3 linked regions of the Arabidopsis thaliana genome follow. The protein of the gene in region 3 interacts with the protein of the main gene of each other region in a pairwise test. Each region holds a gene or a part of one and is shown on either strand. Other genes may lie near its edges. The genes, in order: MORF1, MORF9 and MEF1.

The links.
Region 1: the proteins of MEF1 (region 3) and MORF1 interact in a two-hybrid assay, tested with the Arabidopsis thaliana proteins (one study listed by BioGRID).
Region 2: the proteins of MEF1 (region 3) and MORF9 interact in a two-hybrid assay, tested with the Arabidopsis thaliana proteins (one study listed by BioGRID).

The regions. Positions count from the first base shown.
Region 1 is NC_003075.7:10,840,369-10,851,420, reverse strand, and holds MORF1 (multiple organellar RNA editing factor), read left to right. Parts: upstream 1-5,273; 5' UTR 5,274-5,335; coding exon 5,336-5,703; intron 5,704-5,921; coding exon 5,922-6,019; intron 6,020-6,108; coding exon 6,109-6,174; intron 6,175-6,260; coding exon 6,261-6,988; 3' UTR 6,989-7,019; downstream 7,020-11,052. Other genes in the region: QRT3 (Pectin lyase-like superfamily protein), read left to right, coding at 506-1,510; AT4G20040 (Pectin lyase-like superfamily protein), read left to right, coding at 2,458-2,649, 2,732-2,959, 3,042-4,073; AT4G20030 (RNA-binding (RRM/RBD/RNP motifs) family protein), read right to left, coding at 4,175-4,321, 4,401-4,507, 4,598-4,666, 4,924-5,059; PTAC9 (plastid transcriptionally active 9), read right to left, coding at 7,432-7,560, 7,647-7,711, 7,830-7,977, 8,092-8,197, 8,390-8,502, 8,645-8,783, 8,878-9,293. UniProt on the Arabidopsis thaliana protein: Involved in organellar RNA editing. Required for the processing of numerous RNA editing sites in mitochondria. Binds to the mitochondrial MEF19 and MEF21 factors, two pentatricopeptide repeat-containing proteins involved in RNA editing.
Region 2 is NC_003070.9:3,842,614-3,853,529, forward strand, and holds MORF9 (plastid developmental protein DAG), read left to right. Parts: upstream 1-4,606; 5' UTR 4,607-4,659; coding exon 4,660-5,021; intron 5,022-5,797; coding exon 5,798-5,895; intron 5,896-5,992; coding exon 5,993-6,058; intron 6,059-6,152; coding exon 6,153-6,325; 3' UTR 6,326-6,611; downstream 6,612-10,916. Other genes in the region: AT1G11410 (S-locus lectin protein kinase family protein), read left to right, coding at 41-169, 259-672, 778-1,015, 1,107-1,251, 1,345-1,671; DUF2 (agenet domain protein (DOMAIN OF UNKNOWN FUNCTION 724 2)), read right to left, coding at 1,968-2,653, 2,778-2,862, 2,930-3,049, 3,139-3,225, 3,331-3,732, 3,825-4,259; AT1G11440 (uncharacterized protein), read left to right, coding at 6,805-7,896; UMAMIT27 (nodulin MtN21 /EamA-like transporter family protein), read left to right, coding at 10,704-10,906.
Region 3 is NC_003076.8:21,344,003-21,355,255, forward strand, and holds MEF1 (mitochondrial RNAediting factor 1), read left to right. Parts: upstream 1-6,372; coding exon 6,373-8,139; 3' UTR 8,140-8,331; downstream 8,332-11,253. Other genes in the region: AT5G52605 (Defensin-like (DEFL) family protein), read right to left, coding at 1,214-1,425, 1,538-1,598; AT5G52610 (F-box and associated interaction domains-containing protein), read right to left, coding at 2,421-3,476; AT5G52620 (F-box associated ubiquitination effector family protein), read right to left, coding at 4,552-5,679; HSP90.1 (heat shock-like protein), read left to right, coding at 8,555-8,677, 8,993-9,134, 9,220-9,500, 9,589-11,145.

The sequences.
Region 1 (11,052 bases), on a different chromosome or scaffold from region 3:
TGATTTAATATATCGACAAAAGTCATGTTTCTATAAAAATATGTCTTCTTGGCCCGTCTTTGTGACGTGATATGACATTTCATCCATATGTTAAATAAAGTATCTAAAACATAAAATAGCACAACCTTAATTTAAACGTAAACTTGATTAAAGATGCTATTAGGTTTGGTGAACTAATGGAAAAGTAATTAAATCTTTTTTCTCATTCACGAGAATAGACTGATTCCTTTCTTTCTATGCATGTTTCTTTCATAATTTCAAACATTATGACCTTTTTATAACTTTCCAACAAAAGAAGTTTCGTTCGATTTAAAATTAATTATTTATGAGATTTACTTCCTTTTTTTCAAAAACTCCTTTGTTACAAAAATTGAAAAATTCTCTCATTCCACATTTCGTTACATGTTTTCTACGTTAATAATTTGTTTATTCCATTACACATACATTTTCTATGTCGAAATATATTGATGGTTTTGTTTGTTTGTTGACTTGTGTGACACGTCAGATAAGCGGAGGTACATTAAGAGCATCAAATGATTTCCCGGTCGATAGGTACTTAATCGAACTCAAAGACGAATCGTCAAAGTTACAATACATCTTCGAATACATAACTCTCAGAGATCTTCTCATCGATTGCAACTACCGCGGCGGAGCAATCGCCGTCATCAACTCTCTCCGGACAAGCATAGACAACTGTTACATCACACGGTTCGGAGACACGAACGGGATTCTTGTCAAAAGTGGACACGAGACTTATATCCGAAACTCGTTTCTTGGTCAACACATAACCGCCGGTGGAGACAGAGGAGAAAGAAGCTTTTCCGGCACCGCCATCAATTTGATGGGAAACGATAACGCCGTTACTGACACCGTTATATTCTCCGCCAGGATCGGAGTAATGGTATCGGGACAAGCTAACTTATTGTCCGGCGTGCATTGCTATAACAAAGCAACCGGTTTTGGAGGAACCGGGATTTATTTGAGATTACCCGGTTTAACTCAGAACCGGATTGTGAATTCGTATTTGGATTATACCGGTATCGTCGCGGAAGATCCGGTTCAGTTACAGATTTCAGGGACGTTTTTTTTGGGAGATGCGTTTATTTTGTTGAAATCGATAGCCGGATATATTCGTGGGGTTAGTATTGTTGACAATATGTTTTCCGGGTCGGGTCATGGGGTCCAGATTGTTCAATTGGATCAGAGGAACACTGCGTTTGATGACGTTGGCCAGGTGGTCGTTGACCGTAACAGTGTGAACGGAATGGTAGAGAAATCGACGGTGGCTAGAGGTTCGGTAGATGGAAACGGGACGTCTTGGACCGTTGATTTTAACCCGGTTTTGTTGTTCCCGGATTTAATCAACCACGTGCAGTACACACTTGTGGCGAGTGAAGCTGGCGTGTTTCCTCTGCACGCGCTAAGGAACGTTTCTGATAACCGGGTGGTCGTTGAGACAAACGCTCCTGTTACTGGGACAGTTTATGTAACAGTGAATCAAGGAGTTTAATGTCGTGTTTTTGCCGTTTAATGGTTTTATAATTTTATAAAATGATTTATACTTGTTGGTTTTTATTTGTAATTTTTCCTGTAAGGGGGAAATTTATTTTTTATACAGCTAATAAATGATAAAAACTCGAAAATTGTGACTACAGTGGAAGAGTTTGGTGGCAGACATTTACTTGTTGTCTGAAGAAGAAATTCAATGCAATGACTAATCTGAAATTACACTAGAATCAAATAAAGCTTTACCTAATGTAATTAAATTTCTACAGAGTTGGTGGCTTATGAAAGATAATCTAAGGAGATTTTGATGCTCTGTATTTTCAAATTTTAGATGTTGGCCATAAAGTAAAATTTATTTATACTTCCACACTCAATCCCCATTTTCAGTATTACTTCAAGTCTTCGACATACTTTATTCTGTAAGTTTTTTTTTTGGCATCAAAAAGTGTGAAAATAAAAGTATCATTTTCTTATTGAATGATGAATACTTATGAAAAAGAAAAGCAAACTTTATGACGAATAAAGCCTGAAGATGTGTTGTAAACAAAGTCTAAAACGAATGATTTTATTTTCTCGTCAAGTAATCATTTTATTTTTATTGATGATTTTTCATACTTCACATAATACTTTTGATATTAGGCCAGTTAGGAATAAATTTTCAAATACTTTGATCTTTCTTTGTTGAACTTGAGCGGTTCGTACGAACATGCTTTGATCTTTTTGCATTTTCTTATGAATAAAGCAAAAACTTCTAAAGTGTTTCTATTTAATAGATTGGAACTCGAGTCGGTGTACATTGAAAAAATAAACCAAAATTTAATAACAGAGATTATTTGCCTTTTAATACATATACACACACGCACATATCTACCTGCATCTTCTTCATAATCATTCCTAAGAAATTCTCTCTCTCACACACTCAAGAACAAGACAAGAGTCAAGAAAAATCAGATGAGTCTCTATAGCTTCATTAGCTTGTTGTTACTGTTTCTCATCACGATTTCAATGGAGTTTAAAGAGACATCATCCTTAAGAAGAGACATGACCAAGCTTTTAAAGCTCCAAGAGAAGATTCAAGAAAGACTCGCAGTCACTCCCACTCTCTCACCAGTGTCTTCTCCTTCTTCTCACTCTCCCAAAATGGTAAAGTCCTCTTGTTCAGTTTCTAATGTATTACAGGCACGTGTGTGTGATTTGTGAGCGTGTGTGAGTTTGGTTTGTGCAGGTTGGGAAGGTGATATACCCGATTGGTTACGGAGCTGACCCTACAGGTGGACAAGACAGTAGTGACGCAATACTTGAAGCTTTAACTGATGCTTTTCAGTTACAAACTGGACTTGAGATGCTGCCACGTGTCGCTGATTTAGGTGGTCTAGTTATTGATCTCCAAGGTGGCAGTTACATGATCGGAAAACCTCTCAGGTTCCCTTCCTCCGGTGGCGGAAATCTTGTGGTTAGTCCCTCATTTTAAAATTTGACTTAAGAAACTTATGAAAAGGTTTGAGTCTTTTAAGACATTGTTCGGTGTAATTCAGGTGAAAGGTGGGACTTTCCGGGCATCAGAACTGTTTCCTGGTGATAGGCATTTAGTTGAGCTTGTAGCATCAAACGCTAAGAAACCAATGAAAATGTCGCCAGAGGAGTCTTTCTCCGATCAGAAAGACCAGAGCTCTGGGATCTTCTATGAGGATGTGACCTTCCAAGATGTTCTCTTCGACTCAAGATTCCGAGGAGGTGGTATTTTGGTGATTGACTCAGCTCGTATCCGTATAACCAATTGTTATTTCCTCCATTTCACAACGCAAGGGATTAAAGTCCAAGGAGGTCATGAGACATACATTTCAAACTCCTTCTTGGGGCAACATTCAACGGTAGGAGGAGACAGAGAAGAAAGAGGATTTACTGGGACAGGAATCGATATCTCGAGTAACGACAATGCCATTACGGATGTAGTGATTTTCTCGGCTGGTATCGGTATCTCTTTGAATGGTGGTGCAAATATGGTTACGGGTGTGCATTGCTACAATAAAGCTACATGGTTTGGTGGCATTGGCATTCTAGTGAAATCACATTTAACGAGGATAGATAATTGTTACCTTGATTACACAGGTATAGTCATAGAAGACCCTGTCCATGTTCATGTCACCAATGCTTTGTTCTTAGGAGATGCAAACATCGTCTTGAGATCGGTACACGGGAAGATTTCCGGTGTAAACATCGTCAACAACATGTTTAGCGGTACCGCCAAAAACAACTTCCCGATTGTCAAGCTAGAAGGAGAGTTTCATGATATTAATCAAGTTGTGATTGATCAAAACAATGCAGAAGGGATGATGCTGAAATCAACAACCGGAAAGGCCATGGTTTCCGCAAATGGAACACGATGGATCGCTGATTTTTCCCCTGTTTTGGTATTCCCTAACCGGATAAACCATTACCAGCATTCGTTTTTCGCTCAATCCGGACAGATCCCTGCAAATGCAGTGACCAATGTCTCCAACAATATGGTGGTTGTAGAAACCGATAGAGCTGTAACTGGAACCGTGTCAATAATTGCTTATCAGTAAAACAACATTCTTCACATTGATCATATTCCTAATAAGAAAGCATGATTTGACATCTGATTTATACAAGTTCAGTTACAGTTTGGTGAGCTTGATACTAACAACTAATACCAGCAATCAGCAACCTCATCATTAGCGGCTTCTTCTGGCTCATCCGACTTCTCAGGTGGACCAGAAGTCCTAGGCAGTCCTTGGAAATCACGTTTACCTGGTTTCGCAATGTCTATATAAATCATTCTGCCATTGTACATCTGCAACAGAGGAATGGGAAACATTTAGGTTGATTTCAAGACATAAAAATGTAAACTTGTGATTGAAAGAAGCTTTTACCCGACGGTCCATGGTCTCTATGGCAAGAAAAGCATCATCTTGAGACGTGAATTGAATAAAAGCATAACCTTTTGATCTCTTCATTGCCTCATCTTTGATAAGCTTAACTGTTTTGAAGTATAAGAGTGAACATATCAATGCCATAAAACTGAACCTTAAAGCAACAAAACAGAGTAAAATTGAAACCGCAAACATACCTTCAGCTATCTCTCCAAAAGCTGAAAACTCTCTCTTTAGAAAATCTTCACTTGTAGAAAACGGTAAATCTACAAATTCAAAGTGAAGAAACATCAGAACCGTAGAGTAATTACCAAGTTGAAGTTACAACCAACTTCAACTTCACTAATGATTGCTACAAGAGCTTAGAGCTATCACATATGACTACCGTCACAATCCTGACTCAAATCAACTAATTTCAATCAAACCAGAATCATAAATTACTTTTGGAACAATAACAGAACCATGTCCTAATCTCAGCTAGAAGCGAATTCAAATATAAACCAAAAGATAATCTGAATCTTACTTCTGACCATGATTTTGCTCGCTAGAGGGTAATTAAAGAGCGAAGCTTTAATCTTTGGAAACCTAAGGTTCCTGTAATTAGGTAGAGAAGATGAAGAAGCCACAAAAGAAGGGAAAGATAACGTCGCCGACCACATAATTCACAGTCGCCGGAAATAGAGAGGGAGAAGAAGAAGAAACAAACAGAGAGTTATAAAACGACAGCGGTATAGTAAAAAGCTAAGGCCTAAGTTTTTTGGCCCAGTGATAAATTTGAAACTTTAGGCGGAAACTAAAAACATTTGAAACAATAAGGACTTAAAAAGTAATTTACTATTTATTTAGATATTGTAAAACCCACACAAAAACCCTAATTTCATTTCTCCAAAGCTTTCCAGAATACTCTCCACTCCTTCATAATTTCTCTGGCAACGATGGCTATGATATCTCACCGTCTCCGACGAGCTTTACTCACTGCGACTTCCTATGTTAACCGATCAATTAGCTCTTCGATCACACCAGCGTCTGATTTCCCTTCTGTGTCGGCGGCGGTGTTAAAGAGATCCGTTATAGGGCGTTCGACGGAAGTAGCTACTCGAGCACCGGCGAGACTGTTTTCAACGAGGCAGTACAAGCTTTACAAAGAAGGTGATGAGATCACGGAAGACACTGTGTTGTTCGAAGGATGTGATTATAATCACTGGCTTATCACTATGGATTTCTCCAAAGAGGAAACTCCTAAGTCTCCAGAAGAAATGGTCGCTGCTTATGAAGAAACTTGCGCCCAAGGACTTGGCATCAGGTTAGTAGATGAATTTTTGTCACTGCTTAGATTCGTTGCTTTTGGCTAAATTGTCCAAAAATCATTCAGTAAGTTACTTAAATGTGAGAACTTTACCATTGCTAGGGTTCCATTCACTGTTATATAGCTCTGCTTTGATTTTTGTGTATCTTCTTCTGGTATTGATATTGGTTAAGACGATTATATTGATTCATTTTTGGTGTTTATGGTTGAGTCAGCGTGGAAGAGGCTAAGCAAAGGATGTATGCTTGTAGCACAACTACTTACCAAGGATTTCAAGCAATCATGACTGAACAAGAATCAGAAAAGTTCAAGGGTATATAGTTCGAATCATTTATGTTTGTTTTCTTTTGAATTCAACTTTTTTCACCAGATATTGACTCTGTTATTGGTATATGTAAACAGATCTACCCGGAGTGGTTTTCATCTTGCCAGATTCCTACATTGATCCCCAGAACAAAGAGTATGGAGGTGAGCTGGTTTTTTTTACAAACTGGTCTTATTTTGGATATTTGTTGTTGGGACTCTATCAACAAAATTATGTTTCTTGTTTTCAGGAGATAAATACGAGAATGGAGTGATAACACACAGGCCACCACCGATTCAGAGTGGCAGAGCAAGACCTCGTCCTAGATTTGACCGTTCAGGAGGAGGAAGTGGTGGTCCCCAAAACTTCCAAAGAAACACACAGTATGGTCAGCAACCACCAATGCAAGGTGGTGGAGGGAGCTATGGTCCTCAACAGGGCTATGCCACTCCAGGACAAGGTCAGGGAACTCAAGCGCCTCCACCATTTCAAGGAGGTTATAACCAAGGCCCGAGATCTCCACCACCTCCATATCAGGCAGGTTACAATCAAGGCCAGGGATCTCCAGTGCCTCCATATCAGGCAGGTTACAATCAAGTCCAGGGATCTCCAGTGCCTCCATACCAAGGAACACAAAGCAGTTACGGTCAAGGTGGATCTGGGAACTATAGTCAAGGGCCACAAGGTGGTTACAACCAAGGAGGACCTAGGAATTACAATCCACAGGGAGCTGGAAACTTTGGTCCTGCATCTGGAGCTGGAAACTTAGGTCCTGCACCTGGAGCTGGAAATCCTGGCTATGGTCAGGGGTATTCTGGACCAGGACAAGAGCAGAATCAGACATTCCCACAGGCAGATCAGAGGAATCGAGACTGGAACAACAATAATCCAGCAGGCCAGCCCGGGTCTGACCAAGTAAGATCTCGATCAATAATGAATCTTGCATCTTTCTTTTTTGATATCCTCATCAGGCATTAAAGTACCCCATTTTCCCCATATTTGTTACTGAGATGGTCCTGTGTTTCAGTTTCCACAGGGAAGAAGGTACTAGACAGAGAGCATGCTGCAGTGAATTGAGCTGAATAAGGAGAGAAGTGTCAAAGGCCTTTTATTAAGTTTTACAGTAAATAGTATTTAGTCATCTTTCTACTTTGTAAGACAATAGTTAGTCCTTTTTTCTCTTAAGTTGAGCTTGTTAACGTTGTTGGTTGCGCTTGTGAAATTGAAACACTCTTTCTAGAAGTTCTTTTAAGACCTAATATGCTTGCTTTACCTGAGACATTTGGAATCGTCCACACTTGTAGCTACTGTATTCAGTCTACTAACCAAAAATCAAACGGAACTTTGAAGACCACTTTGAATAGAAATGATGAATTTTGTAAACACTTGGAGCTCTTTACATGGAGATAATGTTTCTAAAGCTAAAAGACAATACTTTCTTGTTTCTTCTTGACTGGTGGCAGTTTCGGTAATACCCAAGTAGGAGACTCGTTTAGCCACAGTGCTTCACCTGTCTCCTTGTGCTTGAAATCAGGGGCTTTTGCATTTCTCTTCAAAACAAAAACGATATTGGGACAATAGGTCAGTTTCTTGGAAAGATTGATGAAAAACCGAGCAAAAGATATTGGTATCCTACCTTGTCGATTCTATTGTCCCACCATTTATCTGGGTTCTGAACCAAGTCCTTCCATGATTCTTCTCCTACACATATCAGCCCAGATTTCAGTTTATACAAACATACTTGAACAAGTGCCACATAACTGTAAACAACTTTCTTTGTATAGTTGCATAGGAACATGGAAATGACTGGGAACTTTACCTTTAAGTTGTTTTACAACTCTGGCTTTAGGGACTAGAACATCGAACTCGAGTCCTTCGAGTTTTGGCAAAACCCAATTAGGAGCCTTATTGAGCCACAGCGAAAAACTACTGTCCTTGCTTTTGAAATCAGGATGCCTAGGTTTTACCTATGTAGGAGAAAAACCAAGAAGTCAGAAAACTAGTAGAGAGATTTAGCAGACACCATATCAAAAGATTGCGAGTGAGATAAGGATGAATAGTTAAGCACATGGGGCATTTACCAATCCATTGACTTTATTTTCCCGGTGATCCCACCATTCTTTAGGATTTTCAATGAGGTGATTCCAAGAATCTGAAGCTTCATCAATGACTATATCCTGCTTAGCTCTAGCTAGAGACTCATTTAACAAACCATTAATCAGAGCATTGAAAACAAATGTATGCCAGAAAGATTTCACAAGAAAACACATTTTTCATTAAATACATCACAAGAGATTAAAAAGTAGCTCCCTAAGAGCCTTTCTCAGACCTAACACAAGCGCCAATTGAAAATTGTTCATTGGAAATGTTACATGAGACATACCAGGCTGCTTCTTGATACCACTTTCTTCCTTTTCAGATGATGACATAACCATAAATGGCGACGGAGACGGGGACATAGGCTGTATAAAGTTAAGATTCTGGACCAATACCTGTTGTAAAGCAAGTAGCAACCACCTAAAGTTACAAAGGTTCTCTGGAACTTTTCATACATACTCGAGGGATAATCAAATCAACATAGTACTCTTCTCACAAGTATCATAAAACTGATCAAATACTATTTAAAGCTCACACCTGAACATTGGCTTGTGCATAAGTCATATTTGGAGGAGGAGAATCTATAAACAGCTTCCCAGACACATGAATTTGATCGTCTTTGCTTACATATCGAGCTGCGGTTTTAGCTAAATCGCCTTCAAATATTATCGGAATCCTGACAAAACAAAATCCAAAACCTTTTCAAATATGAATCACAAACAAAGTTACAAATAAAAATCTCATCTTTGAGTATAGATTAGAGAGAGTACCAGAAACCAGAGGAATCTGAAGCAGACCTCTGGGAAATAACAGTACCAGCCCAGAATTTGCCATCAGAAGAAGCTTCGAATTGAACTGGTTGATCAACAAATCCAATCAGATTAACCCAATTCGCTACTTCACTCTCGTAAGCTATCTCATTAGGCCGAGGCAATTCATTCTCCGTCGTCGCCGTGACTGACGCAATCTCCAGCGGTTTCACAGGTGTCACTGCCTCCGGAGTTTTCGCCGGTGCTTTGGCTCTTTGTTTCCTTTCTCCATTTCCAGTTTTCCCGCCGACGGCCGCCGCAGTGTATAAACGGATTTGCGGAGAGGTTATCCGTTTTCCGGTAGTGATTTCTGAAGCTCTTGGATAAAAAAATGGCGAACATTCAATTCTTGCCAAGGATTTGGAAATCAAACTCATCTTTTCATGAGAACGAGAGAAAAAATCCCTAATTTGCGAAAACCAAGAGAAACCCTAATTTTGCTTTGAAGGGTTTAAGGAAACAACAAATTGAAGCAAAAGGGGGCAAAATTTTCTCAGGCAAGTAGTAATTTACCGTCGTTTTGTGTTGGCGCGGAGATAACTGTATCTTAGTTATTCAGTTCACTTTGGGCCTTGTATGGGCCTCACTATTATAATTGTTTTGGGTCCATCTCAATTACTTATAGTCGGAGTCAAGAAGCATGTTGCTAAAATTGGTGTAAATATCATATACAGTAGATATAAATATAATAGCCATTTTATTATATAAAACTGGTAGACTTAAAACTATTATCGCATATCGAAAAAAACAATAAGCTAAACGCCATGCACATCAAAACACGTAGAATAATTTGATTTCAGTCGTCATTTCGTAAATTGACATGTAAAGACTAAAGACAAACGTCTCACCTTTCACGCTATAGCCGTAATTTTCAAAACTCATAAAAATACAATAAAACGTTTTTGTTTTGTTAGGTGATACAATTAGAATTTAGCTATGATTATATTGACTTGGTCGTTGTTTTGCTTGTCGAGGATGTTAATTGTCCTTACTTGATGCTCAAGAGTCGCTTTTATCTTTTCTTAATTTTAACAAGTGCAATCACAACAGTTTGCTGTCATAACTAGAGTAGATCTATACTGATATTGAAACTAAATATCGAAATATATATATATATATATATATATATATATAACTTAATATTTGTGTTAATTAGATCATTTCAAATAGTTTTAAAAGAAAACTATAACAATTTTCGGGGATAACGGAATTTGATAATTGACACGGATCCATAAGATTAATCATTTACTTTACTCCATACCCTTCTTTTGAACAAACCTTTGGACCACACGCTTTTGGTTATTTTGCATTACATCATACAAATGTATATTATATAATGTCTCTATATATAGATTTTGCTATATACACGATATAGTTCTATACATAATCCGTAGGACGCTAAAAAAAAATGCGTCATGGTCAACTTGTGGATCAGGTCAGGCAGTTACTAAGAATTAATCGGTATTTACCTCCATACAAGATCAAGGTGATCGACGTTATGAACGTGTATGGCGATGTGGTTCGCCTATAAGGAAGAAGCTCTCATCTATTCTTTTATTGGCTTTTTGTATTCAACAAAATGTTTGAGACAACGCTTATGTCAAAAGTTTTTCTCGAAATAAATTTTATGTTTTAATCAAAATAAAAAATTAGAGGTTTCTTTTCAAATTACCATTCTCTTTTTTTTTTTTTTTTTTTTTTTACGGAGTTTACGATATGATATACAATTTCTTACTTGTTTGATGATTACCAAATTCGTTACGTGAATGTTAATAATAAAGATGATTCCAAATTTTTAGTAAAAAGAAGTTGTATATATTCGTATGAACAAATGAACAATATACGTTTTGAAAATTCAAATTAAAAGTTTTTAAAAGTCAAACGCAGATTCTAAGCATGTGAGTGAAATGTGAACAGAATTTAACAATAATTGATGCGAAGTTGACTTTATGATATATACCTATAGGACTGGTCATAAACTTTGACCACGAAATTCAATTTATGAATATTTTTAGATCAATTGAAAACAAAGGCAATCGAGTAAAACTTTTGACTGCAGAAATGGTTCAATTGACGATGCTTTTGGCCGTTTCTTTGATTCATTCTCTTTGTCGGCTTCACTAGTACAGCATAAAT
Region 2 (10,916 bases), on a different chromosome or scaffold from region 3:
AACAAAGGTGGTAGCAATTTGATTTGTTTGCTTGTTTCAGCGCGGTGGAATGGAAATGGCGCATCGGGGAAGAAGAGACTTGTTTTAATTCTCATCAGTTTGATTGCAGTCGTGATGTTACTACTGATCAGTTTTCACTGTTATTTAAGGAAGCGAAGACAACGAACACGTAAGAAATTCTCTGATGATGATTTTTTAAGATTATATGTTTGCTTGCTTAGATCACAGCTAACAAATTGAACACTTTCACAAGTGCAGAGTCTAACAGGCTTAGAAAAGCTCCATCAAGCTTCGCTCCGAGCTCTTTTGATCTTGAAGACTCATTCATACTTGAAGAGCTTGAGGACAAATCAAGAAGCCGGGAGTTGCCTCTCTTTGAGCTTAGCACGATTGCTACAGCAACGAATAATTTTGCTTTTCAAAACAAGCTTGGAGCAGGTGGTTTTGGACCTGTTTATAAAGGTGTGTTACAAAATGGTATGGAAATAGCAGTGAAGAGGTTGTCAAAAAGCTCAGGTCAAGGAATGGAAGAGTTCAAGAACGAGGTCAAGTTGATATCGAAGCTGCAGCATCGAAATCTCGTGAGGATCTTAGGATGTTGTGTTGAATTTGAAGAGAAGATGTTGGTATACGAGTATTTACCAAACAAGAGCCTAGACTATTTCATATTCCGTACGTTTCAACATTTCCTCTATAGATTCAACTTCTCCCATTCAGGACGATCAGTGACTTCGAATTTGCTTTCCTGTTTTGTTTTCCTCCTTGTTGTTCTCATAGATGAAGAGCAAAGAGCAGAGTTGGATTGGCCAAAAAGAATGGGGATAATCCGCGGGATTGGTCGTGGAATCTTATACCTTCATCAAGATTCAAGGCTGAGGATCATCCACAGAGACCTTAAGGCCAGCAATGTACTTCTTGACAATGAAATGATACCGAAGATTGCGGATTTCGGCCTGGCTAGAATCTTCGGAGGCAACCAAATCGAAGGAAGCACAAATCGAGTCGTCGGAACATAGTGAGTTAATCTACTATATCAATCCATCCCCACAAAACTCTCCAATTTCTTTTTTTCAATCTTTAAGGTCGTTTCAATCTCACTGTCACAGTGGATACATGTCACCAGAGTATGCAATGGACGGCCAGTTCTCTATTAAATCCGATGTATACAGCTTTGGAGTATTGATCTTAGAGATCATAACCGGAAAGAGAAACAGTGCTTTTTATGAGGAATCTTTGAATCTAGTCAAACATGTAAGTAAAAACTTCTTCCTTTCTTTGACATAACTTGGGGATACAGAGGAGCAAAACAGAACATAAGCAAACGTTTGTTTCTTCGTCTTGTAGATTTGGGATCGATGGGAAAATGGTGAAGCTATAGAGATCATAGACAAATTAATGGGTGAAGAGACGTATGATGAGGGCGAAGTAATGAAGTGCTTACACATTGGGTTACTTTGCGTGCAAGAAAACTCTTCAGACAGACCAGACATGTCCTCTGTTGTCTTCATGTTAGGTCATAACGCCATTGATCTTCCATCTCCGAAGCATCCTGCATTTACGGCGGGAAGGAGGAGAAACACCAAAACTGGCGGCAGCTCAGATAATTGGCCCAGCGGAGAAACCAGCAGTACTATTAACGACGTTACTCTCACCGATGTTCAAGGTCGTTAAGAAGTGTATTCCTCTTCTTTATAATCTAAGAAGACTATAGGTATCAATTTATAGTAATACTTGTTATATAGAAAATTATGTGTTTAAAGCGTATGCAAACTTATTTGTATAAAGTTTACAAATACCTAATGAAAAGAAAAGTTAGCCTCATTATACAGGGGATTACATGGTTAGCTTCATTTCTTCTCTACATAACCCGACTTTTATCAACCACTAACCAACCATATTAATAATGATCTCATAAAAATCTTTAAATCAACTTAGAAAGTGCTCACCATAGGTTTGTTTTTCTTAACTTACCAAGGAGCCGACAAAATTGTCTCAAACTCAAACTCCACATCTTCAAGCTCTACATTGAGATCTTTTGCACATGACTCCATCTGACATATCTTTTTCCAGGCTGCATCTTTCTGTTCTTTTTCTGCTTCCTTTTGTTCTTTTAGAGCAGCTTCTTGCCTCTGCAGCTCGATAATCTTGTGTTTCACCTCAAGAATCTTTTGTTCCATGTCATCAAACTCTTGTTTAGCCTTGCTAAATTCATTTGTCATCTCCTTGTCAAAACCTTTTAGTTCCTCCATTATATATAGTTGTCTATCTTTGAGTGCTAACAGCTTGTCGATCCGTGATAATGGAGTTGTAACATTGAAGCCATGTTTCTCGAGCTCCGAAAATGAATCTTTAAGGCTATTTAGTTGGCTTACAGGAACGTCGGCTTCAAGATCTTTAAATTTCTCCAGTAACCCAAAATAAGTCACCATCATACCTATTGCATACCCTTCACGGAAATCTTGCTTAGTCTCAAACAATGGGCTGAAATGAAGACTGTGTGATACACTTTTGAAGACCTCCAGTGATTCATAAGTCTTCCAGACCGGTGACTTCTTTGCAAAAGGCAAAACCATTATTGTGTGTTTTGCATGGTTTTCCTCAGCATTAGAAGCAGAATTCTTCACCACATTGGGGGTCCGATCCGAGGATAACACTGGACAGATGAACGCATACACAACACAATGAGAAAATAAAGGCTTATCTACCAGTAATAGTACAATGAGACCATTGCAAGCGGGTCCTACATTCCAGAATGTGCAATGAGAGTTAAGACATACCAGTCTTATTGATGTATGAATTGAGCTTTAGACCTCCTCTTTTCCTCTTTCGAGTATAATATTTGATCTTAGGCTCCTCAGGCATCTGTGCATAGAAGTGTTAAACCAAAAGGAGAGCCATCTCAAAGATAAATAACAATCATAAACAATACCTTCTCTCGAGTTGACTCATTTCCAAAGCCATTCTTCATTGGCACAGGGGATACCTTTCCTTGGGTTTTGTTCTTTGTTGCAGTTACCCCCAGGGTTATAGGTAAACCAGATTCTTTTTTCTGGAAAACAAAGACCATAGAACAATTTCAGGGCGTAGAAAACAAACAAGGTTATAAAAGAATCCACTAGCAGGGTTATGACCATATACCACATCATCAGCCATCTCATTTCCCGGTGGTTCCTTTGTCTGCACATTTCTGTTGCCGTCTAAAGAAGTTTCTTTCTGGCGTTTTGGCTGAAAATGGAAATAACATAACAACACTTCAATTAATCCTCAAAGATGTCACACTAATTAAACCAAACCAACACAATGTTGCCTGCAACTAGTGATACAATTTACCTTTGTTCTTTTATGCCAAACTCCATCTTCCCACTCCATTGGAGGCCTAATATCAGAGTGATTAAATTGCGATGCCTCCTTTGTTGCCCCGAAACTTACCATGTACCTTCCCTCAAAGACAATTCCCCTGACCACACCTTGACGCCATTCAAAACCACTAAACGCCTCTACATGATCCAGCAATTCATACTTTCCAACAGATAAAGGAGGCTGCATAGGCCTTAGTCTTAGGGAATCAACAATTAAATTTTTCGATTCCCGGCAGCTATAGGACTTATTCCAGTACTTGACAAGAAACCTCTTGTCCTTCTCCAACTCCTTAATGACAATTACCGGAATCCAAGCACAATCAAATCTCAATTCCACCATTGTCCCGCAACTAAAAACAGACTTGACCAATTCCTTCAAAGACAAAAAACAAACATACAACAACGGATAAAGTTAACAACTTTTTCATGCAAAGGCGAAACGATTTCAAAAAAAACTCATCATACCTTATTATCAGGTCGGATCCATTTGAAGCCGGTCCAATCAAGATGAACCCTCAATTTCTTTTTCTCAAACTGAATAATGTCTGGTGGGCAATCGAAGTAAACCAAAAACTTCTCATCCTCCATTGTTTTTACCACCACACCAGTCCACCACCCATCTTTGAGATAAGCGTCGACCATCAAGCCTTCTACAAAAACGACGCCGTCGTTCACATCCTCCGACGGGACAGGACGAATGAACCTCTGATCGACGAATTCCGTTAAAGGAGCCAAACGGTGTTCATTGAGCTGCGTCAAGTAACGAACTTTAAGCTTATTGTGTCCTGATTTCGTTGGATTATCTTCCAGAATCGCTCTGTAATAAGACCCTTTTAACTCTTCTTCTTCAGAAAAAACTTCTACTTTGTCGTCTTTTCTAATGAATATCATCTGCTCCATCTCAAAAACCCTTGAATGAAAACTAATAACGGCTCATTTTTGCTCTGCTAACCCTAAATCTAAAAAAAGACTTTTCTGCTGAAACCCGAAAACCATAGATATGATTATATGAAGGAGACTTTTTGCAACCAAAACACAGTGCTACTGTGTCTGTGCTTAGTGTCGATATTCACGATACACATCGGGGAAAGTGTGTTTTCTTTTTTTCTTTCCCAATTTACTTTTCTTTTTTTTTGGCGCTTGAAATTATGAGAAAATGATTTAAGAAATTATCAGGCCCAAACTATCTAATGGGCCTAATTAAAAACGGTGTCGTTTCATAGGATCCTCATCACGAAGCAGGTAAGTAAAAATATATCTTATCTTCTCCAAAACTCTCTCTTCGATTTCAGCAATTGCAATGGCTTCCTTCACAACAACTTCTTCTTCCTCGCTTCTCCTCAAAACTCTTCTCCCCGTAAGCCACCTGAATCGTTTCTCTACACTCTCTGGTATCCGCGTTGGCGATTCATGGACTCCTCTGCTCCGGAACATCTCCACCGCTGGGTCTCGGCGTCGAGTGGCGATTGTGAAAGCTGCGACGGTGGATTCGGATTACTCGTCGAAACGGAGCAATAGCAATGAGCAGAGAGAGACGATTATGCTTCCTGGTTGCGATTACAATCATTGGCTCATTGTAATGGAGTTTCCTAAAGATCCAGCGCCAAGTAGGGATCAGATGATTGATACTTACCTTAACACTCTTGCTACTGTTCTTGGCAGGTTCGTTTTCGCTTTCTTATTGATTCTCTTCGTTGTTGAATTAGTTAACTAATAGACGACATTTACTTGTGTTGCTAATGGACTTGTCCTTTGATTGAATCCAATGTTGCGTATAGGAAGATTTGGTTTTTTGTTAGATTAGGGTTTTTGATGATACTTTAGGGTAAGGGTTTAGTGAGCTGAGTAAAGCTTTCAGCTTTAAATTTGCTCTGAAGTTGACCTAGTTCCAGAATTTGTTCTTAATATCAGGTGTAATCTTTAGCTGACTTGTTTTTCGTCTCTTGATATGTGCAAACTTATTGAACATTGCTGCATATTGAACACAAAACATTGGTGTCTGATTTGATATCTAAAACTTTGTGCTCTTTAGCGTAATTATGAATGAAATTAGGGGGAAGAATAGAAGCATCTATTTTTGCATATTTTCTTCAAGCTATGTATAAATTGTAGGTGATTGTGCATGGTTTCTGTTTGTTAAAAACTTGATGTGGACAGTGTAAGCTAGTAATGTATGTAAAAGGAGTGTACAATTGTGCAGAGCATTAGATTGGGACTCCTGACTAGAAATTTCTTGGTATGGCAGGGAACGAGTTTGTGTTACACAACTAATGACTAAAACTTTAGTTTATTTGGTGCTACTCTCTATTTTAGAGAACTTTGATTCCGGTTTACACTATCCTGCTGATGTGATAACCAATTAATGTACTTGTGTCCATTTTCCAGCATAACCAGTTCATCGTGTTTGCTTATTATATGTACTTGTGTCTATTTTCCAGCATGGAAGAGGCGAAGAAGAACATGTATGCATTCAGTACCACGACATATACTGGATTCCAATGCACCATCGACGAAGAAACATCTGAGAAGTTCAAGGGTTAGTTAGTGAGCAAGAAGAGCCTTAGTCCCCTTATTGAAAGTTCGTCGAAAACCTTCAAGATACTGATCGTTCTGTCTTTTCATTATTTTCACAGGTTTGCCTGGAGTTCTCTGGGTCTTGCCTGACTCCTACATAGATGTCAAGAACAAAGACTATGGAGGTAACCCATCAAAGCCTGATTTTAAACTTTCTAGGATCTCTCTCTCTCCCAGTATCCATGTTCTGATAATTGAATCGTTCTTTCTCGGGTTTAGGCGACAAGTACATCAATGGAGAGATTATCCCGTGCACATACCCAACATACCAACCAAAGCAGCGCAATAACACTAAGTATCAAAGTAAGAGATACGAAAGAAAAAGAGACGGTCCTCCACCTCCTGAACAGAGGAAACCAAGACAAGAACCAGCAGCCTCTGATTCCTCTTAAACTATAATAAGATAATGGAGTGTTTGCAAGTTTTGATCTTTTGGTTAGCACTTAGCTTGTTGAAGTCGTGTGTAAAATCGTCTAGTACCAAATGATGATACTGTATCATCACACCTTGAACAATAGCTATTGTTATGTTAGGATGAAATTCAACTTGAACCATTTGTTTATTTAGGTAATGTTCGGTTTTGGTTTGGTTTGATTCTTTGTCAACCACTGCTTTTTCCCCACGTTTTCTCAACACCAATTTCAGACAAGACAAAACAATTGTAGGGTCACACACTCGTCACCAACTCACCATCTACATCAGTCGTCCCTACCTTATCAACACATCACATGGAAATAATACACTACTCTCTCACGGACTTGGAACCAAACATTCCAAATTAGTTTAATCGACAGATCACTGCTCAGCTGAATCGTTTTCTCTCATCAACCGCAGAGAAAGACTTTCAAGATCATCCTTCAAGCTCTCTCAAATGGCCAACTTCTATGAGAATTACCAGAGTCCTTACGATTACAATCAGGTTAATAATCTCTACGATCAAAATCATTATCATTACAATCAACAGCAGCAGCAGCTTGGTTTCGAACCAATGAGTTATAATTATTACAACTGGAATGAATCTGAATCTGAATCTGAATATGTTGCTTACTCTGGTTATGATGATCCAATGAGTTATAATTGTTATAACTGGAATGGATCCGAGTCTGAGACAACCTCTGCATATGTTGCTTACTCTGTTTCTACCATGTCTGAGCCTAAACACTTGTTCTATGATCCGAATCTCTATACAACCTACGAATCTCCTCCTCAGTTTAGTATCTATTGCTCTGTAGCCTCTGCTCTTGACTTCAACGAGCCGGAATTCGATGAATACGATCCCACGCCGTACGGTGGTGGCTACGATGTTGTTGCAACCTATGGAAAACCTCTTCCTCCATCGGTGGAAACTTGTTACCCTTGTTCAACCGCTCCTCACGCTAAAGCTCCCTCTCCTCCTGAGATTATTGCTCCTGTTCCTCTTGGAATTTATGATGGTGGTCAAAAGAATGTTGTCAAGAAACGTGTGTCTTTTGCTGAACCGGTAGAAGAAGTCAAACCAATAGAAACCATTAAAGAGCAAGAACAAGAACAAGACGAAGATTATGATGAAGAAAGTGAGGACGAAGATGATGGTGATGATGATGATGAAGAAGAAGAAGAAGGGGATGAGGAAGCTAAAGAAGAAGAAAAAGATCACAGTTCAAGCTATGGAAATGAGGAATATGAAGTCGTAGATAAAGGAGAAGTGAAAGCTTTGTATGTTCCGTCTGGTTACGGATTAGAAGCGACCGATCTCTGTGAGGTTATATTTGGAGGTTACTTTCCTTGTGTGTTACGTAACAAAAGACGTCAGGAAGATGAACAAGATCGTGGGGCTGCTGTTTCTTGCTGGGAAAGCAACGATTCTGATCCGTGGAAGACAACTTCCGATCACCTTTTCGGGGATTCATATCCGTACGGTTACGAGAATCGGAGCGAAAGAAATCAGTTCGAGGTCTCCTCTTATGGTTACCGGATGTATTAACAACCCTAGTTATCATCAGTTGTGTCAATGTGAGGTAAGAACAACATTCTTTTGATTATTGATGAACCTGATTTTTTAGTATCTGTTACACAAGAGATGAGATTTACTGTTGTATAACGAGGAGGGGTTACTTAATAATAAAACGTCGCACGCAAAATCTATCTTCAACCTTTCTATTTGTAACATTCTCTTTAACACGTTTGTTTAAAATCTAAAATCTTTAAATACTACACTCGATGTGATAATTGATTACTGTATCCATCGTAATTATTATTGGTATATATACATTTCTTTGTGAAAAACACCAAATAAATGAAAGAATTGTATCATGGTATATCTAATATCTATCACTGTGAGTACAAGTGCAGAAGAAATTGTAGAAGTAGAAAAGTCAACGATAAAGATGAATTAGCTGAAGTTGAAGAACACTCTAATAAGTAATAACAAACAATGAACACCATGGGGGTTCTTGATTATCTTAAATGAAAATTAGTACCCGATTCAAAAGAATATCATTTTTTTGTGTTTTTGGAAACTCTTTTGAGACGTTAACATGTTGACTAATAAATTATGTGTAAATATACTTTTTTGCAGAAATTATTTTTGTGGATGTATAACTTGTTTACCTGAGCATGTAAGTATATGGAATTTTCAAAACTGTACTACGTATAGACAATATGCAAATACAGAAAACAAAACAAAATACCGTATTTACACGCGATATTAATAAGGTTCAATGACATGCTACTTCTTAACTAAAACAAAATTTAAAATGATTGATGAAAGCTTTACATGTGCGTCATGGAGGCTTAACTTTGTTTTGAGACGTCTACTTCTTTTTTTTTATTCTTATCCCTTTCCAATTTAGTTATATGTAGTATAATCAGATTAATTCACCATATATAAAACCCTTTTTCAAAAAAAAATAAAAAAAATTATAAAAGTATAATAATTATTGAGCTGTTGGTTATACTGTTTTAATTTCATCGAATACTTTCTCTGTTTTGTTTTAAATGATGATCCAGAGAATTTTGTTTATCTTATTTCAAGTGATGTTTTCAAAAGTTTAAATATATTTGATTGTAACCATTTATATAATAGAATATGTTTTTTACTAGTTGAATTAGTTTTATTTTAACAATTTATATATATAAAATAAACAAAATATTTTTTTTATTATTTCTTAATTTATGTGAAAAACTTTAGATATGATTTAATATGAAAAGATAGAATATATTATATACCAATCTTGTAAATTTATTCTAGAACTAAGTCAAAACCACTAACTTTTCTTTTGTGACAACTTTTTTATAAAAAAAATTTAACATCATTAGAACCACTAACTCAATTGTTATTATATTTGGTGAATTGATCTAATTAGTAGAAGGAATATATATGTCTGCACTACTGGAGAGAAAATGCCCCGTCCATTATGTTCTAAGCCTTTTCTAGATAACTTACTGAATCTAAAAATAGCATCTGCTTTTTGTCCCTACAAAGTTATATGGACAAACTAAAGGAATGAAAGAGTTCGATATACCCAAATGGGGATAATATAATTTTTTCATCAACTTTAAAAGTTCAAATATAGAGCTAATTATACGCATTTATAATTAACAAAAACGAGATAGTGCAAAACAAGATGGATCCAATGAAAAGACAAAAGAGAATAATTAATGGATCGAATATAATTCAAAATGGGCACAAAACAAATTTGCACGCAAAAAGTTATTGAATGAGAGTTGCAAAATCTCATATAGTACTTATTTACTACATATGATTAGTTTATCTCGTTGAAAAGTTCGTGTTTTTTCCTATTTTGCACCAAATTCAACAAATCCTTGAGTCAGTCCAATTACAATTGAAAGTAAAGAACCCAAACTTGAACCTATACGACCAGACGGAGACGGGCATGCAAGTGTTTAAGTGTCATTAGATTACAAATGTTTAAGTGTCATTAGATTACACGAAGTATAGATTTAGATATACCAACTAGCTCGGGTTTGCATGACTTATTTTTTCTCACTAAACTCAGTTACATCATCTCTCCGACTCTCTTTTATGAAAATCATTTTGCTAATTAATAAGGTGCGCGGCAGATAACACGCATGATAAAGCCAATGTATCGGTTTCTCATTTACTCATATAACGTATAAAATGGAAAAGCTAATTCATCGGCGCCTCATGAAACGTGTGATAAAGCCAATGTATCGGTTCTCATTTCTACTATATAATAAATAAATAAATATAACAGTAAATATACACATATTGACCGGAAAAAAAAAAGATTGTTACCGCATGAGCAGTTATATTTGTGACGACTTCTTAAACTTAAGTATCCTACTAATTTTGTTCTTTCATTAGTTAATAATATGCTCGGGTTTGTAGTAGTGCTTTGTTCTTCACAAACGCTTATCCTATATAAAAAGAAAGTTTTTTTAGACCAGAAAAGTAAATAAAATTAAGCTAGTTGTGTGTAGGAACATTCAACTTGTTCAAATATTTGAACTATTTTGTAATTTATAATTTTACATAATGTGGAACAAGATTCTAATATTATTTAAATTGAACTTGACAGCACTAAGTTTTTTATTTATTTATTTTTGATAGAAAGACCACTAAGTTAATATAATAGAGCAATAATTCAGGGGTTTTTTCTATTAAAATGACAGAACCCAAACACAGTACTCTTTCTTATAAGTTATAAATATGGGAAGGGTGGTTGCCAAACTCAAAGTACTTTGGGTCTTAACTCTTTCTAACACACAAACTCACATAGAATTCAAGAAAGAGAGAACGAGGGAGAGATGGGTGAGGATATGCGAGGAGTGAAAGTAGTCTCAAAATGGCCACCGATGATAGTTATGGTGACATCACAAGTAGCGATGGGTTCGGTGAATGCACTTGTGAAGAAAGCTCTTGATGTTGGTGTGAACCATATGATCATTGGTGCTTATCGAATGGCTATTTCCTCTTTCATTCTGGTTCCTATCGCCTATTTTTTGGAAAGGTTTATTGAT
Region 3 (11,253 bases):
TGAGGCTGTTTATTAACTATATACACAAAAAGTTTGAGGTTTCCAACTTTAACTCTTACATGTGGGGACTATCTACTAAAATTATTGAAGAGAAAAAGAGAACAGTGGTTTGCACTTTTCCGACAGTAACACTACTGTAAATTCGTGCAAACTAGAGCTGTAAAAGCTCTATTCCCTTGTTTTTATCCTCAACATTGTCACAAATTATTGGCTTTTAAGGCAAACATATAAGCACGGGAGATCAGAGGTTGAAGATTGCCATCAACCTCGATACATGCGTTAGTCCATTGCATTGCAGATACAGTTTGTGCGTTTACAGTTGTTGCGTTTCAAATATTCTTTCTCGCTCAAAATGCTTTTCCAATAGTCAAGACTAGTGTATAAGGGATAACAAATCAATATCTAAAAAATCTAAGAACGAAAAGAGAGGTATATGTCTAATATACATATTTGAGTGATATATGCATCTACGTCCTAGCTAGTTCTTAGTTTTCAGATTTTAATATTATGGAATTTGGTAACTTACATTTAAAAAGAAAACACGATTCAACTTATTTTCTTTTTTAATATGATATCATAAGATACACCACGATTAAAATCTGAAAATTCCATATAGGTCAATAACTTTCGAAAAACATTATAGTACCAAAAGATAATTATTACAACAAGAAACCATCTTTTTATTTTGTGTAACTTTTGTTTGGCTCACAAAGGGCATTCAAATTTTAGTACACAATGACATGCCTAGATCTCATTGATGTACCTTCCTATAAAAAATGAAGACTGAACAAAATATGTGGTATCATATTCGATTCATTATATCCACTTTGATCCGATCCAAAAATCTGTATAATCGTAAATTTGCGGAGCAAAACAAATAATAAAATTTAATATGTGCCAAATGTGAAACATATAACAAAAACTAAAATACCAAATTGGAATCTTTGAATATTTCTTAGTAAAATGTAGATTACTTTTAGTAGGAGTTTACTCTGTCGTATCAAACAGCAACTCATGCCTCTAGTTTTGTTTGCTATCATCATCATTGTTATTGTCTTTCATATAAAATAATAGCATTATGACTACTTTCTGACTGATAAAACTTCATAATTGCGTAATCATTTTCAAACAATGTAGTTAGATCTTTATTAATTTTCGAACAATTTATCTTTGTGTTATACGTATGACCCTTATTAATTTTACATGATGCATATTAACCGGAACAATTGCAATGACATATATGTTTATGTTCAAAAAGTTTGCAAAAACCTCCTGTTTCGCACCCTTCAATACAAAATTTCCAGCATTTCCCATCCTTCTCAGCATCATCATCGATGCCTGGAAGACACCTTCCAACACTCGGATGTTCTTTACAACATATCGATTTGTCTTCAAATATCCAGGGTGCGATGTGTTTTTGTCCATCTATTTGAATGGATCCTACATTTAATCAAAAATAATATTACATGAATTAATTTTCCAACATAAAAACTTCGGAAAAAAAGGTTAACGCTTTAGTGCTAAATACAAAAAAAACATAGTATACATAATACAATAGCAGCAAATAAAACAAAAGAGACAACATTTGTTCTAACCATTCTTCTCTTTTTTCTTTGTTAAATCAAAATATTAAGAATTTTTTGATATTTTTGTATTTGAATGAGAATGAAGAAGGAGTTGTTTCGTATTTATAATTAGAATTCTAACTATATTCAAGGGATCCTTCGAATTAACATTATCTCACATAATAAATTTGTAAGGAATACAATATATTTGGTCAACCAAATTAAAAACATGTTTCCAAAAAGATTGGATATTCCAACTTTGACTACATTATTACAAGACATACATGACTTATTTAGATAAACGTTTTTGGTAGTTTGCAAGGTAATGCAGACTAATATTTTCTGTGGGTTTATTCTGTCAAGAGATATGATTAGAGACTCATTCATTTCTCAATATTCCAATTCACTAGTTTAGGAAATTAATATAATCTTGAGGCTCACGCCTATTACTTGTATATAAACAAGCTCTGTATCTCTTTGTGAAATACATCAAACATACATCTTCTACATATCCGTTGTCGTAATATTCTTGTTTGAACTCTAAACCAAAACTTAGATCGGTTTGGTTTACTCGCCGGTTGTTGCGCTCTATGACGAACTTTTATATAAACTCGTTTACTCGCCGTTATTACAACTTACAACTTCTGCTCATATTATTTAATACTCATGCGGTGAAGAAGAAACAAGACGAGGAGATGAGCATATATTATTATTACATTAAAATTATTACAAAGGATTCACTTGGACAAGACTGACCAACATTTATATTTAAAAAAAAGAACTGACAAACATTATACGAAAGAAGAATCCATTAACTCATGTGATCATGCAAGATCATCACTCTTCTTGTTCTTATTACAATAACATAATACTTTCAACGTAATCCGTGAAAGTAAGCACTAAAGATGATCGATCTGAGCATCTGATCCCTCCGAGCCAAACTTCCCTTGAACGTTTCATCTTGAGATCAACATAGACAAGATAAATCTGATAAAATCGATCATGAGCTGTAACTATAAGCTCATCACTACCAGCAACAAAACCCACCGCACCTAGCCAAACAAGATCATACGAAAACATCTCTCGAGTTAAAACGATAGAAACCTTAGACCATTCTTGTTTCCCGGCATCTTCCAAAACCCATAAATCATACATGCTCATACTTTTTGCAGCAAGTAAAGCTAGTTTCCCTTGATAGTTCACAAGTTTAGAGTAACCAAAGTTCATATCATAAACATTACTAGCCCCGACCGGTATTTCAATGAAATCACCAAACTTTTCAGTAGCCACGTAGAATCTAACAAGCCTCAGTCCATGCGCCGTCTGAGCACCGTAATACACAACCCCATCGATGCATATTCCTCTGGTTGAGGGAGAAGGAATATTCTCAACCTCGATCATTTTCCATGAACCTTGACCTTCCAATGTAAACACTTCCAGTTTATAGGGAGATAATAAATATTGTTTTGAGAAAAACAAAACCTTGTATTGATAATTGATAGGATCATATCCCATATACCATTTCCTGAACTTTTGATGTGGAGCGGATTGGGGCACGAGTACACCCTTACGCGTGGCAGGATTGGATATCCACAGTTGAGACATGTATTCGACACATATCAAGCCATTGACACAATCAGGCGTATGAGAAGAATTATTGGCGCTGCATGTCGCCTTGGTAACCAAAGAAGGTTGGGATGACGAGAAGAAATGCCAACGACAAGATGTGAATATATCACGTAAAGCAAACATGACATATGGCTGACGAGTAGAGGATCGAGATTGGTATAAGTTGATGAAATATCGACTGCGGATGATTGTGGCCCAAAGCTTGCACACACATAGGCATCTAGCTAGGGGTTTCACAGGCAATCTTAAGAGAATTTCGACCAAAAGGTCTTCAGAAATCATACTTGATAAGAAAAAAGTTTAGTATTTTTTTTTTTTTTCTGTTTGATAAGATAGATAATCTATAAATCAAGATTCTATCTTATATATACAAATGCAATGGGAGAGTAATTTGCTTAGTCATTAATATATAAGATTGACTTGACTACATTTTTTTAAAAATGTATATTAATTAAATTCGTATCTAAATGATTAAGTCAATACAATTAATAACCGCGACTAGCTTTTTGTATATTACTCCCTCGGATTCATTTTGTAAGACTAGAAATGCGTGGTTTTAATACTACACTATATTATTTTGAAAAATTATTTTATTTACAATTTCTGTACTTAAAAAATATAAATGGAAATGAATAAGTGGATAATCATCTAAAATTATTTTAATTTTGAAATTTTGTTTAAAATAAAATATCGACTGTCGATCTGGTGAAACAGAGCTTGGACTGTCTTATTGTGTAGTCCGGTTGTTGCGCTCTATCTCTCTCCAAAGAAACAAAAAACGGTGGGTTGGACTTAATAATCCAAGCAATTAAGCTTGTTGTTCAAATTTTAATCACCACCTTTCTCAAAAGAGAGTGTTAAGCCTTTGACGAAGTATGAATCGTTAATTTGCACAAGAGTAAAGAATTATATGCGTGTCAAAGTTTTAGTGTTTGAGAATGATTATAAGCTGTCTTGATACTCAGTTAATCATCATATATATAAACAAGAAGAGTGAGTTCACAAGTGTAGATTTTATATTATACTTATTTTTGGTCAAAACCAAAGTGTAGATTTTTTTTTTTGAAGTTGGGGACAAAGAGACGGATGTCGTTTCGGGTATAAACCTATAATTTCTTAGAAACGAGAACACAAAATTGATAGAGAGATCTTAAAAAAACCTTATAGACTATAATATCATTTCCAAAGAGAAGTTTTATGAAAATGCATTTGATGGAAGGATATAAAACATTATCATGTGTTCAAGTAAAATAGAGAAGAAAACCTGGGAAAACAAATTGCCAACAAATGATGAAGCTCACAACAAAACTTGTCTGATGAAAAGTCACATTTCCAAGTAAACTACCTAGACTATGAGTTATATAAACTTGACATCTTCTGCATAGTCAACAAAGGTGTAAACTCTACTACTAAGATTCTTCTCTGACCCTTCAAAACCTTGGATTTCAACTTTTTCCAGAGTGTTTCTTTCGGGGTTGAAGTAGTAAACAAAGAAGGATTCCGATGTATAATCCATGGATAAAATAATTTCACCAGTAGCAGTCACTCCAACAACGGAAACATTGCCGTGAACGATATTCACCGGCAAAGTGTATTCACGTTTCAACCATTCTTCTTTCTCGGCATCTTCTAGAACCCACAACCACAACATAAGTACCTTCCACCGAAGCGGCTTTGGATAAATTTGATTATCCCATAAACAACTAAGCACGCATAATTTACCCTTGTAATTAATCAGTTTAGCAAGCGCAGGACAAAAGGTTACGTCAACATCCGCATTAAGAAACTTAAGTGTTTCATACCTTACATTAAAGGAAGCTATCTTCACACCACTGAACTGGAATTTGTTGCTAGCCATGTAATACAACACCCCATTGATGCATATCCCTTCACTTTCAGGATAATGGTCTACGAGACATCGGATACTCCTCCATGCTACTTTTCCAGTTCCTAATGTCAGAATATTTTCTGGATCAAAATGTGAACTGCTTGGTGTGATTACCTTGTATTTTTTGCCAATCGGATCATACCCTAATAAGCTGCTCAAATTGTTCATACTACTCCTTTGAGTTAATCTTGCGTATTGTCCCGTGCTAGGGTTACATATCACCGGCACTTCGCCTGTACGCGTATTAGGGAAATAGAGCAAACCAGAGACAAGGCCAAAAATCTCTTGTCCCATGTCTCTACGTAACTCCATATGAAAATCGGCTGATACTACAAGAGAATGATTCTCATCTGGAAACTGAGACTGAGGCGACGAGTACAAGCACCACTTATCAGAATTTTGAACCGCGAATAAGAGACGTGGACGACTCAAGGGCCTAGTAATTAGGAACAACTCAATGAAATCTTGACCTCTTAGTATAGATCCACAGAACTTGGATGCGAGACCAAACTTAGCGATTGAATTAGTAGACAATCTCGAGAGTATATCGAGAATGATATCAATCGGGATTGGATCTGATTTTCCTTCTCTTTCCATCGTACGTTTTTCAAAGATCGTGTATTTTGGATTTTGGTTCCAGTTCCAGTTCCAGTTCCAGTTCCAGACTTAACGTAGACGACAACCTAGGGTTCAAAGGCAATTCATTCATACCTAATGGGCCGAATGAATTCATGGGCCATGTTAGAGGCAACTAAAAGGCTGGACGAAACTATCTATTTTAGCCTTTTAGGGGAGGTAACGTATTAATGTCCCCAACTATCTTTTATAGGATGCATAGTTGGTTTTAACTAACATTAAAGGTGTTACTAACAATGGGCAATGATGGTAAAATTATAACGCAGTGGACACAATATAACTTAGCCATACCAATGCAAAGAATCTTGAAACTAGTATTAAACTCAGTCACGTATATGCTCTCCAGTCTATGCTTCGAAGAGCTTTCTTCTAATCCCATACGAAGAAGCTCTCTATGTTTTTCTAATTTAATCAGGCTTAGACAACTAGTTTCAAAGTCATAATTCTTGGTGTCTGAGTTGTCTTCCCTTTCCATCGAGTTTTTTAAAGATCGTGTCTTTTGGTTTCCAGTTCCAGACTACGTAGGCGACACTTCAGGGTTTCAAAGGCAATGGCACTAAAAGTCACTAATGGGCCTAACGACTTAATGGGCCTTGTGAAACGTTACCCAATAAGAGACCTGGTTTCTCACTGAGTTCAACCATCTTCTTCCCCATGGCTCTGAATTCTTCAGCTTTCTTCGTTCCATGTCACAATTACAATCAAATCTGTGATCTTCTTCTTTCTTCAGCTCGAACCAGATCAACTATTAAAGGACTTCAGCTTCATGGCTATGTCGTTAAATCAGGCCTTTCTCTTATCCCTCTCGTCGCTAACAACCTCATTAATTTCTACTCCAAATCACAGCTTCCGTTTGATTCTCGTCGAGCTTTTGAAGATAGCCCACAAAAAAGTTCGACGACTTGGAGTTCAATCATCTCTTGTTTTGCCCAGAACGAGCTTCCATGGATGTCACTCGAGTTTCTTAAAAAAATGATGGCGGGAAACCTTAGACCTGATGATCATGTTCTTCCATCAGCTACAAAGTCGTGTGCGATTTTGAGTCGTTGTGATATTGGTAGATCAGTTCATTGTCTATCGATGAAGACTGGGTATGATGCTGATGTGTTTGTGGGGAGTTCTTTGGTTGATATGTATGCGAAATGTGGAGAAATTGTTTATGCGAGGAAGATGTTCGACGAAATGCCTCAGAGAAATGTTGTTACTTGGAGTGGGATGATGTATGGGTATGCACAAATGGGTGAAAATGAGGAAGCTTTGTGGTTGTTTAAAGAAGCTTTGTTTGAGAATCTCGCTGTTAATGATTACTCGTTTTCGAGTGTTATTAGTGTTTGTGCAAATTCGACTCTACTTGAGTTAGGTAGACAGATTCATGGATTGAGTATTAAGTCTAGCTTTGATTCTTCTAGCTTTGTGGGAAGTTCTTTAGTCTCGTTGTATTCAAAGTGTGGTGTTCCTGAAGGAGCTTATCAAGTTTTTAACGAGGTGCCTGTGAAGAATCTCGGGATTTGGAACGCTATGCTCAAGGCGTATGCGCAACATTCACATACTCAAAAGGTTATTGAATTGTTCAAAAGGATGAAGCTTTCTGGAATGAAACCAAATTTCATAACTTTTTTGAATGTGCTCAATGCTTGTAGTCACGCGGGTCTAGTTGATGAAGGGAGATACTACTTTGATCAGATGAAAGAATCGAGGATTGAGCCGACGGATAAGCATTACGCTTCCTTGGTGGATATGTTAGGACGAGCTGGTAGATTACAAGAAGCACTTGAAGTTATCACTAATATGCCGATTGATCCCACGGAATCTGTATGGGGAGCTTTATTAACGAGTTGTACAGTCCACAAGAACACAGAGCTTGCAGCATTTGCAGCAGACAAGGTCTTCGAATTAGGACCAGTGAGTTCCGGTATGCACATTTCGTTATCCAATGCTTATGCAGCCGATGGTAGATTCGAAGACGCAGCTAAAGCTAGAAAATTGCTTCGAGACCGAGGGGAAAAGAAGGAAACAGGGCTAAGTTGGGTTGAAGAAAGGAACAAGGTTCATACATTTGCAGCTGGAGAAAGACGTCATGAGAAAAGCAAGGAGATATATGAGAAGCTGGCTGAGTTAGGGGAAGAGATGGAGAAAGCGGGTTACATTGCAGACACAAGCTATGTTCTGAGAGAAGTGGATGGTGACGAGAAGAATCAAACCATAAGGTATCATAGTGAGAGATTAGCTATTGCTTTTGGACTGATCACGTTTCCAGCTGATAGACCGATCCGAGTAATGAAGAATCTGCGTGTTTGCGGTGATTGCCATAACGCGATCAAGTTCATGTCCGTATGTACGAGACGAGTGATCATTGTGAGAGATAATAATCGGTTTCATCGGTTTGAAGATGGCAAGTGTTCTTGTAATGACTATTGGTGAAGAAGACAAATGAGAGTTGGTTTATATTTAACCATAATTTCATTCAGTTCACACTGAACCGGCGAAATTTCTTTGCCAGACCTATTCGGAATTGAAACAAGTGGAGTCTCGAAACGAAAAGAACTTTCTGGAATTCGTTTGCTCACAAAGCTAAAAACGGTTGATTTCATCGAAATACGGCGTCGTTTTCAAAGAACAATCCAGAAATCACTGGTTTTCCTTTATTTCAAAAGAAGAGACTAGAACTTTATTTCTCCTCTATAAAATCACTTTGTTTTTTCCTCTCTTCTTCATAAATCAACAAAACAATCACAAATCTCTCGAAACGCTCTCGAAGTTCCAAATTTTCTCTTAGCATTCTCTTTCGTTTCTCGTTTGCGTTGAATCAAAGTTCGTTGCGATGGCGGATGTTCAGATGGCTGATGCAGAGACTTTTGCTTTCCAAGCTGAGATTAACCAGCTTCTTAGCTTGATCATCAACACGTTCTACAGCAACAAAGAAATCTTCCTCCGTGAGCTCATCAGTAACTCTTCTGATGTAAGTTTCCCTTCAAATCTCTCTCTGCTCGGTGTGACTCGTCCGCTTCCTATTTTCTTGCATGTTGTTTGTTCTTTAATTCCTGGATTCGTTGATAGCGTTGGATTCGTAGGTTTAGCGTTGTGATTGCTTATTCAAATAAATCGTGATTTGGCTTGTGCATCACGTTAAGTTTAGAATTCTTAGCTTGTGCTCGATCTTCATGTGTTGTAGTTACATATATAGAACGGTTCTTGCTTCGATGTAGTCTTTGATTTACCCTAGAGGATTGAGGAAAGCTTCTGATTATCTTTGTTTATATGAATGGTTTTGTAGGCTCTTGACAAGATCCGATTTGAGAGCTTAACGGATAAGAGCAAGCTCGATGGACAGCCTGAACTCTTCATTAGATTGGTTCCTGACAAGTCTAATAAGACGCTCTCAATTATTGACAGTGGTATTGGCATGACCAAAGCAGGTAACGAATCAATGCCTAATAATCTCTCGTTGGTGAGATGTTTTAGTGTATGTGCTGTGGTTATGACTCTCTATTATTTTTTCAGATTTGGTGAACAACTTGGGAACCATTGCGAGGTCTGGAACAAAAGAGTTTATGGAGGCGCTTCAAGCTGGAGCTGATGTAAGCATGATAGGACAATTTGGTGTTGGTTTCTACTCTGCTTATCTTGTTGCAGAGAAGGTTGTTGTCACTACAAAGCACAATGATGATGAACAATACGTTTGGGAGTCTCAAGCTGGTGGTTCCTTCACTGTCACTAGGGATGTGGATGGGGAACCACTTGGTAGAGGAACTAAGATCACCCTCTTCCTTAAGGACGATCAGGTAAGGAATCGTAGCTTTGAGTGTTTTGGGGATTGTTTCTTTTCTTTTGGTGTTTTCTGTGTTCTTACAAGTGTGTTTATTCATGCAGCTTGAATACTTGGAGGAGAGGAGACTCAAAGACTTGGTGAAGAAGCACTCTGAGTTCATCAGTTACCCTATCTACCTTTGGACCGAGAAAACCACCGAGAAGGAGATCAGTGACGATGAGGATGAAGATGAACCAAAGAAAGAAAACGAAGGTGAGGTTGAAGAAGTTGATGAGGAGAAGGAGAAAGATGGTAAAAAGAAGAAGAAAATCAAGGAAGTCTCTCACGAGTGGGAACTCATCAACAAGCAGAAACCGATCTGGTTGAGGAAGCCAGAAGAGATCACTAAGGAAGAGTATGCTGCTTTCTACAAGAGCTTGACCAATGACTGGGAAGATCACTTAGCCGTGAAACACTTCTCAGTGGAGGGTCAGCTAGAATTCAAGGCCATTCTCTTTGTACCAAAGAGAGCTCCGTTTGATCTCTTTGACACGAGGAAGAAGTTGAACAACATCAAGCTTTATGTCAGGAGGGTGTTCATTATGGACAACTGTGAAGAGCTAATCCCAGAGTACCTCAGCTTTGTGAAAGGTGTTGTTGACTCTGATGACTTGCCACTCAACATCTCTCGTGAGACGCTTCAACAGAACAAGATCCTTAAGGTGATCAGGAAGAATCTAGTGAAGAAGTGCATTGAGATGTTCAACGAGATTGCTGAGAACAAAGAGGACTACACCAAATTCTATGAGGCTTTCTCCAAGAATCTCAAATTGGGTATCCATGAAGACAGTCAGAACAGGGGAAAGATTGCTGATCTTCTACGGTACCACTCCACAAAGAGTGGTGATGAAATGACGAGCTTCAAAGATTACGTCACAAGGATGAAGGAAGGTCAAAAGGACATTTTCTACATCACTGGTGAAAGCAAAAAGGCGGTGGAGAATTCTCCCTTCTTGGAGAGGCTGAAGAAGAGAGGATACGAGGTACTTTACATGGTGGATGCGATTGACGAATACGCTGTTGGACAATTGAAGGAGTATGACGGTAAGAAACTTGTTTCTGCGACTAAAGAAGGCCTCAAACTTGAAGATGAGACCGAAGAAGAGAAGAAAAAGAGGGAAGAGAAGAAGAAGTCCTTCGAGAATCTGTGCAAGACGATTAAGGAAATTCTCGGGGACAAGGTTGAGAAGGTTGTGGTCTCAGACAGGATTGTGGACTCTCCCTGCTGTCTAGTAACTGGTGAATATGGATGGACTGCAAATATGGAGAGGATTATGAAGGCACAGGCGTTGAGAGATAGCAGCATGAGTGGTTACATGTCGAGCAAGAAAACAATGGAGATCAACCCCGACAACGGTATAATGGAGGAGCTCAGGAAGAGAGCTGAAGCAGACAAGAATGACAAGTCTGTTAAAGATCTTGTCATGTTGCTGTATGAGACAGCTTTGTTGACGTCTGGATTCAGTCTTGATGAACCGAACACTTTTGCTGCTAGGATTCACAGGATGTTGAAGTTGGGTCTGAGTATTGATGAGGATGAGAACGTTGAGGAAGATGGTGATATGCCTGAGTTGGAGGAGGACGCTGCTGAAGAGAGCAAGATGGAGGAAGTCGACTAAGAGATGAAGAAATTGCTCTTATGGTTCTGAAAACTTCTAATATGTCGAGTTGTTCTGAGTTTTAAGATTTTCCAAAATGTCTTTGTCTTTTTTTTTATATCTTTAGAG